2 linked regions of the Mytilus edulis genome follow. The protein of the gene in region 1 binds, or shares a complex with, the protein of each later gene. Links are inferred from orthologs where the notes say so. Each region holds a gene or a part of one and is shown on either strand. Other genes may lie near its edges.

The links.
Region 2: the proteins of target of rapamycin complex 2 subunit MAPKAP1-like (region 1) and target of rapamycin complex subunit lst8-like are in contact, whole or in part, in a cryo-EM structure (PDB 7PE8), measured with the Homo sapiens proteins. The link is inferred for Mytilus edulis from reciprocal best matches to the Homo sapiens genes MAPKAP1 and MLST8. Residues at the interface, in NP_001006618.1 of Homo sapiens: Lys102, Cys103, Lys104, Asn105, Ile106, Gln107, Trp108, Lys109, Arg111, Asn112, Ser113, Lys121, Leu123, Phe124, Glu125, Lys126, Lys127, Ser128, Leu129, Gly137, Lys138, Gln139, Ser140, Ile141, Leu142, Val144, Arg145, Leu146; in NP_001186102.1 of Homo sapiens: Ala29, His30, Pro77, Ile78, Ile79, Ser80, Tyr81, Asp82, Gly83, Arg98, Arg110, Ile111, Trp112, Gln120, Cys121, Gln122, Arg123, Ile124, Asn139, Gln140, Ala141, Leu157, Lys158, Ile203, Glu206, Ser279, Gly280, Asp281, Gln283, Asp322.

The regions. Positions count from the first base shown.
Region 1 is NC_092345.1:75,929,944-75,937,132, reverse strand, and holds the start of target of rapamycin complex 2 subunit MAPKAP1-like, read right to left. Parts: upstream 3,008-7,189; 5' UTR 2,874-3,007; intron 1-2,873. Other genes in the region: eEF1A lysine and N-terminal methyltransferase-like, read left to right, coding at 7,012-7,103. UniProt on the Homo sapiens protein: Component of the mechanistic target of rapamycin complex 2 (mTORC2), which transduces signals from growth factors to pathways involved in proliferation, cytoskeletal organization, lipogenesis and anabolic output.
Region 2 is NC_092352.1:37,093,539-37,100,971, forward strand, and holds the start of target of rapamycin complex subunit lst8-like, read right to left. Parts: upstream 3,085-7,433; 5' UTR 2,970-3,084; coding exon 2,847-2,969; intron 165-2,846; coding exon 113-164; intron 1-112. Other genes in the region: cytosolic Fe-S cluster assembly factor narfl-like, read left to right, coding at 3,166-3,231, 4,663-4,911, 6,065-6,197, 6,696-6,830, 7,212-7,433.

The sequences.
Region 1 (7,189 bases):
GGAGGCCAATTATGTTATAGACCGAGTTTGTTATAGTCCGATTTTGTTATAGGCCGAGATATCATGGATTCAGCTAGTCCATCGATGTAAGGCGTCAAAGAAATCAAAGAGCTGAAAGCTCTGAAGAAAAATGACGCCACTGTCTCTAATATTGGGATAGTTTTTATGCAAGTCTTGATTTTCACATACCGTAATTAGTTTAACAATGCAACATGTCTCGTAAGCATATTATTGATATTCGTATATATATGTGTGTGTGTGAAGTGAAGGTGACAACTGGCTGTTTTTTAAGACAAATGAATAGGTCAAGACTACCTGAATTGTACAAATAAATACCGTAGAAAGGCTTGTATATTTCTCACTGGTACATAGTCTGAATCCGGTTCCGTTCGTGCCCACTCATGTTCGCCCCTTTCACTTTCATTCCCTACATGTTCGCACCCAATCTTAATTGGTTTTGTGTTTAATAACTCTGTAAGCAAGTGTTTTCTTATAAGTATAATTGTTGTCATTGTTTTTTTGTGTTGAATAAATCTTAATCATGTTTTAGATAGCGTATTGTTAAAAATTATAATAATCCTTTCTAAATAAAGTGGTATTTTGTCAACGTTTTATTTTGTGTTGAATAACTCTTAATCATGTTTTGGTTAGTGTATTGCTATAACTTTGTTTCATTGACTTCTTTCAAAATGAAGTGAGATTCTGACTATGTTTTTTTCTGTGTGTTGAATAGATTTTATCATGTTTTGGTTATAATAGTGGATTGCTATATTTTGGTTCCTATATTTTATTGTTTCGTTGTTTCAGATCAAAGGGACCAAGCTGTTAAAAACAATTATCTTTTGTGTTTTCCTTTAAAATCTTCAATGTTTTACTCATACCAAGCTATAAATACATTCAGTATTTACACCAAAGCAATTTAAAACAACAATCATGATTTTCCAATTATTCAACTTGAATTTGAATTAAAATTGGGCGCAAATGAGTAGAGTGCAAACGGACCTTCGGTGCGAACGTGCGAGGTGCGAACGTGTAGGGTGCGAAAGTGAATTGGACGCGAACAGACCTGGTACCACATAGTCTGAACCCCCTTCTCCCACAAAATATTAAGTAAATAATCTTTTTGTTACTGTTATCAAAGGTTTAATGAAACTCAGGTAATTTCAAACATTTGTCAAAGAATTCTAGTCAAACCGGCACCTGGTTAAATTGGCACCTGGACAAATCAGCACCTGGTTAAATCGACACCTGATATAGTCAATTTGTCACCCATATTAAATATAAATTTTAACAGTATTTTAAGCAAAAAGAGTAAAAATAAGTAAGGGGTTGCCAGGATTTTTTTCAGTATTTAAGCAAAAAGAGTTAAACATGTTAAATACTAACTTTCACATTTTTGGGTGTTCATGTACATTTTGTATATATTTATTTTTCTCAACTTAATGACTTTTTTGGTGTATTTTTAATGATATATATATGAGTAGTCAAAATAATTATTACGTCTGGCAAGGCTTTTTAAATTTTATTCTGGGACACCTTTCTATGACTGCAAGGCTATGTTTATTTTTTTCTGGGACGCCTTCCTACGAACTTCATAGGAAGACATCACAGAAAAAAAAATAGCCTTGCCAGACGTCATAATTATTTGGACTAATACATGAGATATTGGATATTTTTATGCATTATTTAAACCAGTTGAGCATTTTACAGGATTGTTTGTTTAATGCTTTTTAAACTTTACTGAAAAAAAACACCTTAAATTTGCTTATTATTTGGCATGAAAGTTTGATTTATTGAAAGGGACTCATAGTTTTCCATTTTATTTTAATAATTGTCTAATTGTTAAAACAACAGCTTGGGTAAGGGCTTCGTTGTTTACCTTTATACACAACAACATAGTTCACTTTGGTTTCGTTGTTTACCTAAATACACAACAACATATTCACTATGTACTTGGTAACAGTTATTAATTAATTGAATAGAAAATATTATAACAAATATTATTGGATGCCGAATTGACGTCAAATAGGTGCCGATTTGACTAGATGCCAATTTAACCAGGTGCCGACTTGACTTGTACGTTTCAATTCCTCTGCGATCGTTTGCGGTATTTTCTTGAGAAAAACCTATTTTCCATCATCAAAGAGAAGAAGAAACTGCTTGAAAATGATTCTGGAACGCTTCATGATTGTTAAAATAAGTTAAATTCACTCACTATGTTTTACAATTTTAAAACTTGCGATGTTTAAACAGGAAGTTTCAAAAGCATGTGTAAAAGAAGAAATTAACCGGTGAGAGTGGAAATCCGTACATAACAGATATCACTATAGTACGACTTTGAAAGCAAAACAGTTCCATCCTTTTGTAAAACAGTCTTTAATATACCTATCACATTAATGTTTGACGGGTCTTAAGCTTATTCAAACCATAAAAGTCGGTATGAAACACCAAAACGGAATGAACAATAACCGATTACGTTTTGTAGTTTACAAATTCTAAACTGGTTCCCGTCAAACTACAACACTTTGTTCGAGTGTAGTGGAATACAAGTAGAAACCAGTTAGTTTGTAAACTGGTTCCTGGCTGATTACTACACAATGACCTCTCATGCATAATGATAACACAAGCAAATTCCAGTTTGTATAGAAAATAGTAAATACGAAACCAAGCGCGGTAGGCAGAGAATGTAATGAAGTTCAGGTCGCCAGTAATGGAACAATGACTGCGTCATTTTCCAAAAAATTATAATAGCCTTTCAAGACGTCATAATTATTTGGACTAGGATTCAGCAGGATCATACACCAGTTTCACATTAATATTGATGAATCAAATATCAACCAACCCAGCTGTTTCACGTGACAATAATGTCTTACTTGTATTATACAATTGATGGAATGAACATCTTGAATACAAATTTGGTGTTATTAAGTTGTTTAACTTAATGTAAAAACCAAAACAAAGTGGCCGCAGGCTAAGACAAGGGAGGTAATTACGATAAAAATAAAACTCGGAACGTAACCGGAGAAGTTACGATAAAACGGAATTTGTTGATTGGTGGTGTTTCAGCCTCAGGTAATACTTCAGAAAAATAGTATTGTATTTCTAATCTACTATACTATGAAGCTTAGAATAATATATATATTTTTATCTTCTTTAAGTCGTTGGTTCTTCTTAATTTTAATTCTGTCTTGATTTACACTTCTATTCCTGAAGCTACACATGCTACATCATACATGTGCTATATATATATATATATATATAGCAGGTTAGTCCAAAAGGGTAATTCAGTATAAGTAAATTATTATGACGTCTTGGAAGGCTATTTTAATTTTTGCTTTGATGCCTTCCTGCGTTGATGTAAGGCATATTTGACAGAATTAAAGAGAAAAAATGTAATAGCCTTTCAAGACGTTATCATTATTTGGAGTACATTAGTACATTTAATCTATAATTCAGAGCTAACTGAATCTTCAAATTGCTCTGAACTCTTTAATTATTCTGCTTTTCTTTCAAATGTCTATTTCCTTTCTGTTGCTAGTAGCTATAGTGTCTGACAAACTATTTGGATGTTTTGAATCTCCAGCAGTCTTCATTATTCTCTTTTCTGGTGGTATCTTGTAAAATTAAAATGATTTATAAAATTGAGAATGGAATGGGGAATGTGTCAAAGAGACAACAACCCGACCATAGAGCAGACAACAGCAGAAGGTCACCAACAGGTCTTCAATGCAGCGAGAAATCCCTGCACCCGGAGGCGTCCTTCAGCTGGCCCCTAAACAAATATATATACTAGTTCAGTGATAATGAATGCCATACTAAACTCCAAATTGTAGACAAGAAACTAAAATTAAAAATAATACAAACTAACAAAGGCCAGAGGCTCCTGACTTGGGACAGGCGCAAAAATGTGGCGGGATAAAACATGTTTATGAGATTTCGACCCTCCCCTATACCTCTAGCCAATGCAAAAAAGTAAACGCATAACAATAGGCACATTAAAATTCAGTAGTCCGAAGTATAGGAAGTGTTCTGTGTCTTCCTCTTCACCACATTCCTATATGGTGTAAGGGATTGGCCTATCTGATGACAGTATTTATTATGTCTATTCACTCTATTGTATACTTTCACTTTGCCTGTTATAAATTTCGACATGATTCTCCCTATGGATTCTCATAATCAAGTGAATGGGTCTTACTCACAGTAGGAACTAGTTCATGTAGTTGTCTCCCAGTTTCACTTCTAGTCCATTTTTTTTTTGCCATGTCAGATGTATAAAATCTATACTTCAGTGAACTGCTCTTTAAGCATGTTAAGTCATGTAAGTGTGTAAATGTAGAGTTCAAAAACCAATAGGATAGCTACGAGTTACATGTAAGCTAAGAGTATTGTCACTATTTAGACTGCTAGCTACTGCATGGTTTAAGCTAGTTCCTTTATTCGGCTTTAACTCTAAATGAAGACTATTTCACATATTGTATATTTGTTTATCAAAAGTTTCTGTTGAGCATATCCGTTAATTATTAGTATAATTACATGCATCACAGTAAACCCATATTTGTTTTGCCTATCAAAAGTTCAACTGGAAACTTCATGGTGAACTTTGTTATAATTTAAACAATACTATATAATATACATATATTTCTATTCAGCTGTTTGAACAAATATCATGTCATCATTATTCCTGTAGGAAAAATACTGTAATATTTGTTCCAATGAAAATTATTTTACTGCTTAATATTTTTTTTTCCATTTGGAAATCTTGGAACTTATTTTATAAAGGAAATTCTATTTCATGATAGTACTTATGTATGAAACAAATAACCAACAGACACATACACATGTACAAGATAATCACCACAAAAAAGACTAGAGACCCACAAATATTAAAAAAACATACAAATACACAGGGGCGGATCCAGCCATTCCCTTACCAAAAAGTGCTAACATGTTGCACATAAGTTGCACATAAGATGCTCACGTTAGAAACTAACATGATTGCACACGAGTTTTTTAACATGCAAATTAGGTGAGCATTTTGTGAGCAAAAAAATTGCACATATGAAACTAACCTAATTTGCATGTTAAAAACCTCACGTGCAACTGCTCATATGAGCTTTTGTTTCACATGTGCATTTTATTAGATTGCTCATATGAGCAGTTGCTAACATGTTGCACACGTGAATATTATAGTTGACCAAAACAAAATGGCTGCTTTAAAAAATGAATATTTTTCAAATTTAAATGAAAATCTTAAATAATTCAGTTGAAAATAAAATAACTGATACATCATGTAAAAAGAGTTATTCTTTAATTATTGTCAGTTAATTATGATTTTCATATGATTTTTTTTTTTTATTTATTTAAACAATAATCATGATCATGACTAAAAACATAACATTACATTATAAAACTAATAGAGGGACTTGCAAGTTTAGTACACAATGAATATCTTTGATTAATAAGTACTGTATTTCAAAAAGTTTAAAAGGAAAAATCTTTATACATGTAGTACTTATTTTGAAGCAACCTGTATATATATTCCCATAAAGGACTTAAAATTGTAATATATTTCAAAATCTGACACAAAAATGAAAATAATGAAATAGAAATGATAACTTACAAAAATAATTAACCACAGCCACACTGGTTTTATCAGATTTCAACAATGCCTTTCTTCAAATAGCACAATATAGGACTTAACATTTTCCATATCCATCTACCTTCATTTATTGCATGCTTTTCATGAATTTGAATTTACAGGAAGTACATGACTGGGCATGTCATTTTGAAAAAGCTCATATGAGCAATGATGTAGGTTAGTTTTGAATGGTTAGAAGAATGGAAAAACTTTTCAAAGTACAAAACTAACATAAAACTAACATGGATGATAAAAGCTCACCTGAGGTTTGAATTGCACATGTGAGCATTATGTTAGATTTTTGTGGGCACATATGAACTACCAAACTGCACATATGATCAACCTGATTTGCATACAATTCTTATTTGCATCTCATGTGCTTCACATGTGAAACTTATGTGCTTTTGTTAGCAATTTCTGTACGGGTAATAAAAAGGGGGGTTTCCCATCCCAGAGTAAAGGGGGGTTCCAGCTATATGCTCCCATTCAAATGCATTGATCGGTAAAAAAAAAGGGGGGTTCCAACCCCCAGAACCCCCCCTCTGGATCCGCGCTTGAATACATCAGTTCTAAACAAAGTATAGATAACAGTATTTCTTTCCAAATATACACATAGTCATAAATACATGATTGATAACATGTATTAATAATTACCAAACATCATTTGTTTAACAGTAAAGATCTAGAATGACTTTTAATTGATAAGGAGGGTGAACAGACTCTGTAAGAAAATGATCCCTTGGTAACATGTGTCAAAGCTGTAAGCAAATATAGGCAACCATCATGACCATATGGCCTTAATAATTAATGAGAAAATCCTTACAAAATAGATGGCTACGAAATGCCCCTTCTTGAATAATATGTAATGTCGATTACAATTACAAAACTATTGACCTTATGTATAATAAACAATTATGAACAAAGATGACTGACATAAACCAACAACAACCACTGACCTACAGGCTCCTGACATGGGACAGTCTGACTGCATCATAAAGAAATACCGGTAAACGGGATTATGCATGTGAACGCTCAACTCTCCCCTTACCTGTTACAGTGGTGTAACAGCACAACATAAAAACAAACTATAAAAATGTGTGAAAATCAAGTAAATTTTGCAGGGCTGAAAAACTATCTAAAAGAAAATCTAATACTAGAAAAGATTATATTTTTTAAAACAATTTAAGCCTCTTTACATTGCCAACCTCTACTGGGACCCCTGGTTTCATTTTTTTGTTTTGTACACATCCCCTTCAGCCATGAATTGTACCATTTGATTATTTCAGTGAATCTTCAATCTTTCATATTGGTATTCATGCCATCAGTATTATAGTGACAGAAGAAAGGAAGATCCACTTTATCAATCCGATGAGATGAATCTTCTGCCTCAAAGCCACACAGAATTTCATTCTCCAGAGTACTGGGACAACTTCTTCAAAAAAAGAGGAACAAAAGCTTTTGAATGGTAAGTTAATTTATTACTGCTTCTTTTTCTTTTTTTAGAGAAGAAAAGTACTTAAACTGAAGATATGCATGAAAACATAATACTCA
Region 2 (7,433 bases), on another chromosome or scaffold:
ATAAATATACCCTTGTTTTCTGGATGAGGGAATTTTACTATTTGAAACTTGCTTACAACTGGTTTTTAAGTCTTGTAAATGAGTATGCTTTGTATAAATTTTACAAACTCACCAGCTGCAGCAATCAATTGCTTGTCTGGAGTGATTTCCAATGCATTTACTTGCTAGAAAACAAATTAAGGAAAAACACAGGCAGCTCAGAATTGTGCTGAATATATATGGCACATGATATATGATAATTTATCTATCGCTTCGAAAACTAGAGGATGTTTTTTTTCAGCTAAAATCACATAAAAAACCATTTTATTCAACTTTGACATTGTATGGTGTAAATCTTTGTTTATAAGAATACAAAAAATTTAACATAAAAAAATCATAATTGTACATGGTTTTGACAGATTGTTCAGGCAAGCTGTGGAAATAATTTTATTGAATAAGCGACTTCTACTGTGAAGTATTACATATGCATTGTGACATAGAAAATCTACAAGTTAATGCACAATTTGAATGTCATGAATGTTGTTCATGTACTCTGTGACTATTATTGTTGTTGTTACCATGGTTACCAATTATGTCAATCAATTGTACCTGATTTTATGTATACTGATTTTATGCACTTTATGGGCCATGTAATTTAGGAAATAAAAATATTCTATTCTATTTAATATATCTTGCCACCCTTATTAACATGAAAAGGGAAGGTTGAGGTGTGACCTCTATAACACAACTGGAACATAGCGCAGAGGTGATTGACCATTTTGACTACCTATAGTCTATTTGTTTAGACTATGATTCAACATCTAGTCTCTAATGGATGTTGGTTCATTAAATAGATGTTCAATTTGATGACATTATCAGGTTGTCAAATTCTAAATTCCAAATCTATCTAAATTCTAATTTAAAATCAAGGACTTTTTCTATATACATACATGTAGGCCAACCTAATTATGGTCTGTTTTCTGTTTTCAAATTATCTTCTAACCCTCCACTGAATCCTCATGACAATGAATGAAAATTATTTGTAAACAACAGAATAAGATGTTATTGCATAAAAAATTATCCTCAAAATTTAGTTTTCATAATGTTATCATCAATATTTTAATGCAAACAGTTCATGCTAATGTAATAGCTGACTTTTAGGCCTCAAGGAAAACTAAAGTCGCTTTGCTAGGGTTCATGATATTTATTAATCAGTAACGTAAAACACCCTGTAATAACAATGATAAAGTTATACTAATTTTACAGATCAAATAAAAATTAGTAATACACAGAGCTCCAGATAAGAATTCACAAATTGGGTTTTTTACCCACCATTTTCTTATATAATTGGGTGATAAAGTTTTTTAATTGCATTATCAATTCCAATTCACCCCTCATTTTAATATCAAATTGGGTTTTTCAACACCAAGCTTCTTAATGTATTGGGTTTTTTCATCAACACAATATTGAATATTTAGGCAATATCAACCCCAGATTTTTTTCCATCTTAAATATGTTTCTTTCTTTGTTTAGCTGTTTTATTTGGTTTAGGGTTTATAGGGTTATTTGCTAGCTGTTTTATTTGGTTTATTGACTGAGAAGCAATTGTAGGTTTAATTTGTGTTCCATTCCAAACCTTCTGCCAGTTTTGTATTTTCTCATATAAACTGTAAAAAAAACGGATATGTGTATTCACAGGCACTCGTCTTGTACCTTTATGTAATAAATTCTGAGACCAGTGCCTGTGTGTGTATATATTCATTATAAATTAACCGTAAAATGAAAAAAAAATAGTATATAAACTCTAATTATACTTGAATGTTTTTGTTTTATTCCAATTTTCATAAATCTGGGTTTAGTTGTCTTTTATTAGAACTTTTGGTTTCTGATGCTTTATCATGTTATATTAAATTGATTTGGCCTTTCATCTTTCCAACTGATTTCGTTTTTGAGGAAACCCTGCTTTTATTAGAAATGTTCTCGTTAAGGTACGCACACACGCCCGTGTGTTCGATGGACGCTTCCTAAAAACACTGGCTGAGTCTTGTTATCATCATAACTTTCCCTAAGCTTTTCAAAAGAAGCAGAAAATATGCTTCTATTCAATATTTTTACCGGACATTCACTTTTGTTTTAATTCAATGTATGTTATGATAAATCCCGAGCAATGCGAAAAAAATATGACTTCATGACACACGCTTATTGGATAAACGCCGAGAAGATCGAAATGTTTTCAAAAACACGTGTACCTATTGAGCAACGGAAAACTCTAACAGGGACCCATTTCAGCTACTTGATGCAGGGATCTATTTTTAGAACGAAAGGAAATTTCCAATTATAAATATTATAAAAATAGTTTACGCAACAGATAAGGGTAAATAACGCAAATGGTAGCCAATAAAAGGGTTGAGAACTCATGGTTTTGGAATATAATTGGGTTTTCCTTTGAATTAATTGGGTTATTGAACCCTGCAATGGACAATTGCATTGGGTTTTTTATTATTTGTATTGCGTGATCACGCAAATACGCAGCTTATCTGAAGCTCTGAATACACATGATAAGTATAATATTCTTTCATTACACATTTTGAAAATGATGTATTTCATCTGATCATGTGCCATGAACATCACATTAGACATAAATTTTCAAATTAAGAATCTGCTGCAGTAAAAAATGGCACTACATGTATTATCATTTTTACTATTCATACAATTACTCTGCATTAGGTTGTTATAACTTGTGTAAGTGTCCATATTTATGTTTATATTTGGTTATATGACCATTGGAAATCTTCAGAGGTCATCTAAATACTTGATCAGATGGGGTAACTGGTAAATAAATTATAACAGATTTTGTAGATGGATACAGAGTCTGGATGTTGCACAGTTCTCAGACAAATTCCACTGTAAGCCTGCCAAAATCTGACCGTGTGATCATATCCTGCAGTTGCCAGTATAATTGGATCATTATTTGTGTTTGATCCGTTCATTTTAAACCAAAAATAAAAGATGACAACATCTATTATTCAAGAAATCATCTTTTAAAATGTTGTCTCAAGCTGCCTTGCAAAATAAAGTTTAACCGGAAGTAAATAAATACTGTCAAACGCACTTGTTAGAAATATTTTGATTAGCGGTCTGGATTGTCTCGACGACTCTTATTGGTCATCTAATTTAACTAAAAACATGGCTTCCAACTTCAGTGGAGCCCTACAGCTAACAGATTTGAACGATTTTATCACACCTTCACAGGTTAAACATAATAATTTTGTAGTATAAACAGTTCGTTTGTTATGTAGACATGTTATTTTCCTTGATGCTAAAGACTTTTTAATTCTATGTTTCTTTGAGGGGTCAAAATTTAGTACGAATGACTTTTGGTGAAACAAGACATCTCGCCCCACTGCAAAAGCGCCCCATTCTTGTTCACCAACTCGCCCCACTTTTCTATCAAATCGCTCTACTATGGTTACCCCCCCCCCCTTAATATGAGGCAGGCATTACCTGTGAAGTATACATGCATTATTTTTTTAATTCAAACATGTAAAAAAAAAAAAGAGAAACAGAAATACCGTGACGTTTCCAATTTTGGTTTCTGTTATTAGCGATTTTATTTGTGACGTTATTTAAGTTATAACGTCATATTCCATGTTAACAAAGAAACGCTGTCATCATGTAACGTTTTTTCATATAAACAAACAATTTTTTAAAATGAATTAGTATTGAGTTCCTTTCTATATATTTTACTAGACTGATAAATATATATTTTATTCAAAGTCTCATGCAAACAAGACTGCAAAAGGAAGTAGATTTCTGTGCAGATGCGGGGATTAAAAAAAAGTCTGAAAAAAAGGTTAACGATTTCGAGTTCATTAGTAGAATGAAATATTTTAGAAATTTTCCCAATTTTTATTTTTTTTTATTCTTCTACCGTAAAAGGGGACTTTGTCCCCATACAAATGTTGCACAACATAATACCTGCCCTCTCGCCTTATTTTTTGAAAAAGGGTAAAATCATGATAATATAAATTTATAAAATGATAAAGGTCATTTATATTTCGGTCTTGCTGGTCAAAAGTCATTGATGATTTATGATCGTTCATTAGTGGAGTGAATTGGCAGACCTTTGTTCAACAGCAGTTAACCCTTTTCATAAGTGTTGTGAATTGCATCCCTATTAAAGTTAGCATAGATGTAAACAAGTTTTTTATATAGATTAGACTCAGACTGTTGGTTTTCCTGTTTAAATGGTTTTACACTAGTAATTTTGGGGCCCTTTGTAGCTTGTTGTTTGGTGTGAGCCAAGGCTCCCTGTTGAAGGTCGTACGTTGACCTATAATGGTTTACTTTTATAAATTGTTATTTGGATGGAGAGTTGTCTCATTGGCACTCATACCACTGTCTTCCTATATCAAGTTAAATAAGTACAGGATTTTTGCCATTCTAGCTTTATATTTATGCTCTAATATTTTCTATTAGACTTCGTCCTAGGTCAATATAATCTGAACAGGTACATATATACATGATATATAATGTATTGACCTTTTCAAAAGTCCATAATTGATAAATATGTGATGTGATGAAAAAAAATCAATTTCAAATTACTGGTACATGTATATCAATTAAACAGTTGCGTTCATTTATTTTTAATTTAAATTTATGTTTTTACCTCATTTATTCAAGGAATGTATCAAACCAGTTAAAATTGACAGAAAACCTGGTAAAGTTGGTAAAATAAGAATTGAAGATGATGGTTCTTATCTGTCTGTTAATGATGAAGGACAAGAGACCAGACTAGAGAAGGCAAAGATCACATTGAATGACTGTTTGGCTTGTAGTGGGTGTATAACATCAGCAGAGAGTGTACTTATAACTCAACAAAGTCAAGAGGAACTTTATAAAGTACTCAAAGAAAATTTGAGATTGCAGGAGGTAAACATATTATTTTGCCTGAAGCTAATATTTAAAGAAGTTAATACTGCTAATCTAGCTTGTTTTAGTATAAAGATGAATATTTTAGAAGGTAAATGATCTGTATGATTGGTATTTTGAATACAGATGCTTTGTTACCTGAACATTAGGTCAAGGACTACTGATCATTATATACATTTTTTACATATTCAAATTTGTCTAGTCCTTGACCTTGTTTCAATGGATTAATGACAGCACAAAAATCTATCGTTTTTTAGTCTAATTTCCAGTTAATACAAGTAATCTAGGTCATGATATATTGTATGCAGATTTATTTCAAAACACACATGCTGATTAAAGGCTCACCTGTCTACAGCTATATGTAAGTGATCAACATTAAGAGTTCATGATAAGGTCAGTTTCTCAGATACTATAAGTTAACGGTCAATTGTGTGATAGTTTATGGAATGATTGTTTAAACTGTTAAAACACTGTATAACACAAACAATGGGATACATGTATAACTCCAGTCTTTCATATGAGAATCAAAAGTTAGGTTATCTTCTTTTGAAATACTTGTATTTTGAAAAAATAATAAAAGTGTAATGTGCTTAAAATGATTTAATACACATTGCAATATTTGAATTAATATATACCGCGGTAGGTATTATGATGATATATTGCATTTCAAATGTATTATTATTTTTAAGATTATCTCCCTTTAAAACATTTGTATATTTTTGATATTGAAGAAGTGTAAAAAAAAGAGGCTAAAAAATTATTAGCAAGACACATTGCATGCAATATTTCAAGAAAGATTTGATATATTTAGCAGTAAAAATGCCATTTTTACATCATTTGCATATTAAAGAAACTCCATTCTTTCAAAGACAAATCTTTTCTTACCTTAAGATGGCAAATAGTTGTAATTCTTTTTTTATAAGAATCACTGCTAAAAAAAATCATATGTTTTAATGAAACAAATAAAAAATCCACCACTGTGTACTAAAACCAAATTTTATGATTAAGTGTACAGTGTGATCTACATGACTACATGTAGCTATGGGACTGATTTCTGATTTGTGCAGACATTTATCTCTATCCAAAAACATCACTAGTTTTTGCTTTTACACGTTGGTGATTATATGATATTTGTATGACATCTTTATTTTAGACTGGACAAGCTGAGCAGCAGAAGTTAGTAGTTGTGTCAATAGCTCCCCAGTGTAGAGCCTCATTAGCTGCCAAGTATAAACTATCTGTACAAGAAACTGCTGCCAAACTGACAGGATTCTTCAAGAAAATAGGTAATTATCTATAAATTATAAATCTTTTTCTTCACAAGAAAAAATGAATTGAGACAAGCAAATTTAACAAAGGACAGCTCCAAACCCTTGTTTGGTAATGAAATTTTAGGAATATAATAATATGATTAAAATTCCCAAAACAAATTTGAATTTAGTACCCAATAACATGATGCAAGTTTTAATGGGTTTTGCTAAAATAAATACCATACAAGTGTCCAAATTTTATTTAGGGGTCATTTGAAATAAAACAATTCTCTTTACAACAGGTGGGTTTTGCAACTGTACACTTAGTTGAACAATATTTAGGCAATGAATGATTATCTGCTAGGAAAGTTTAATAAAATTGAAAACATGCATTCAGAGTAGTCTGTTTATTCCAGCACATGTACACAGAAATTATCAACTTGTTCAACAAAGAAAAAAATATGGTTTTGTGTACAACATTGTGTATGCTGCAAATGTGTTAATTTTCAATGTTTTGTTAATTTATATTTTCAGGTGTACATTATGTTTTTGATACCACATTTTCCAGGAACTTCAGTTTGTTAGAGAGTTGCAGAGAATTTGTACAAAGATATAAGGAATCAGAAACAAACAAAACAGCTTTACCAATGTTGTCATCAGCTTGTCCAGGTTTATATCATCTAAGTTAAAATTCAAAATAAGACACAATGTATATTATCATCGATTAATAGTAAGATTCACCAGTGGTATCATTTGGCTCACCGGTGTACACATTATGTCATCATGAAAAAATAGTATATTATACTTTCATATCATTAAAAAATATATTGAAAATTAAATATAACATTCCATTTAGAATGTCTTATCAATGATACCAACTACAATCATTGACAATACTAACAGACGAATACTGCTGTCCATTGTTAATAATCAGATTATCCATAAGGATGGGAAGAATGACATGTTCTTTAAACAACATGTAAATTTTAATAGTACATTTTCATGTACAATTTATATGAAATTATAAATATATTTTTGTGAAAACTTCAGGTTGGATTTGCTATGCAGAGAAAACACATGGACATTACATCCTACCCTACATTAGTACAACTAAATCTCCTCAGCAGATAATGGGTTCTCTAGTCAAGGATTACATGGCAACCAGTAGAGGGGTACCAGCCAACCTGATCTATCATGTGACAGTCATGCCATGCTTTGATAAGAAACTAGAAGCATCAAGATCAGATTTCTACAATGACATCTATAGTACAA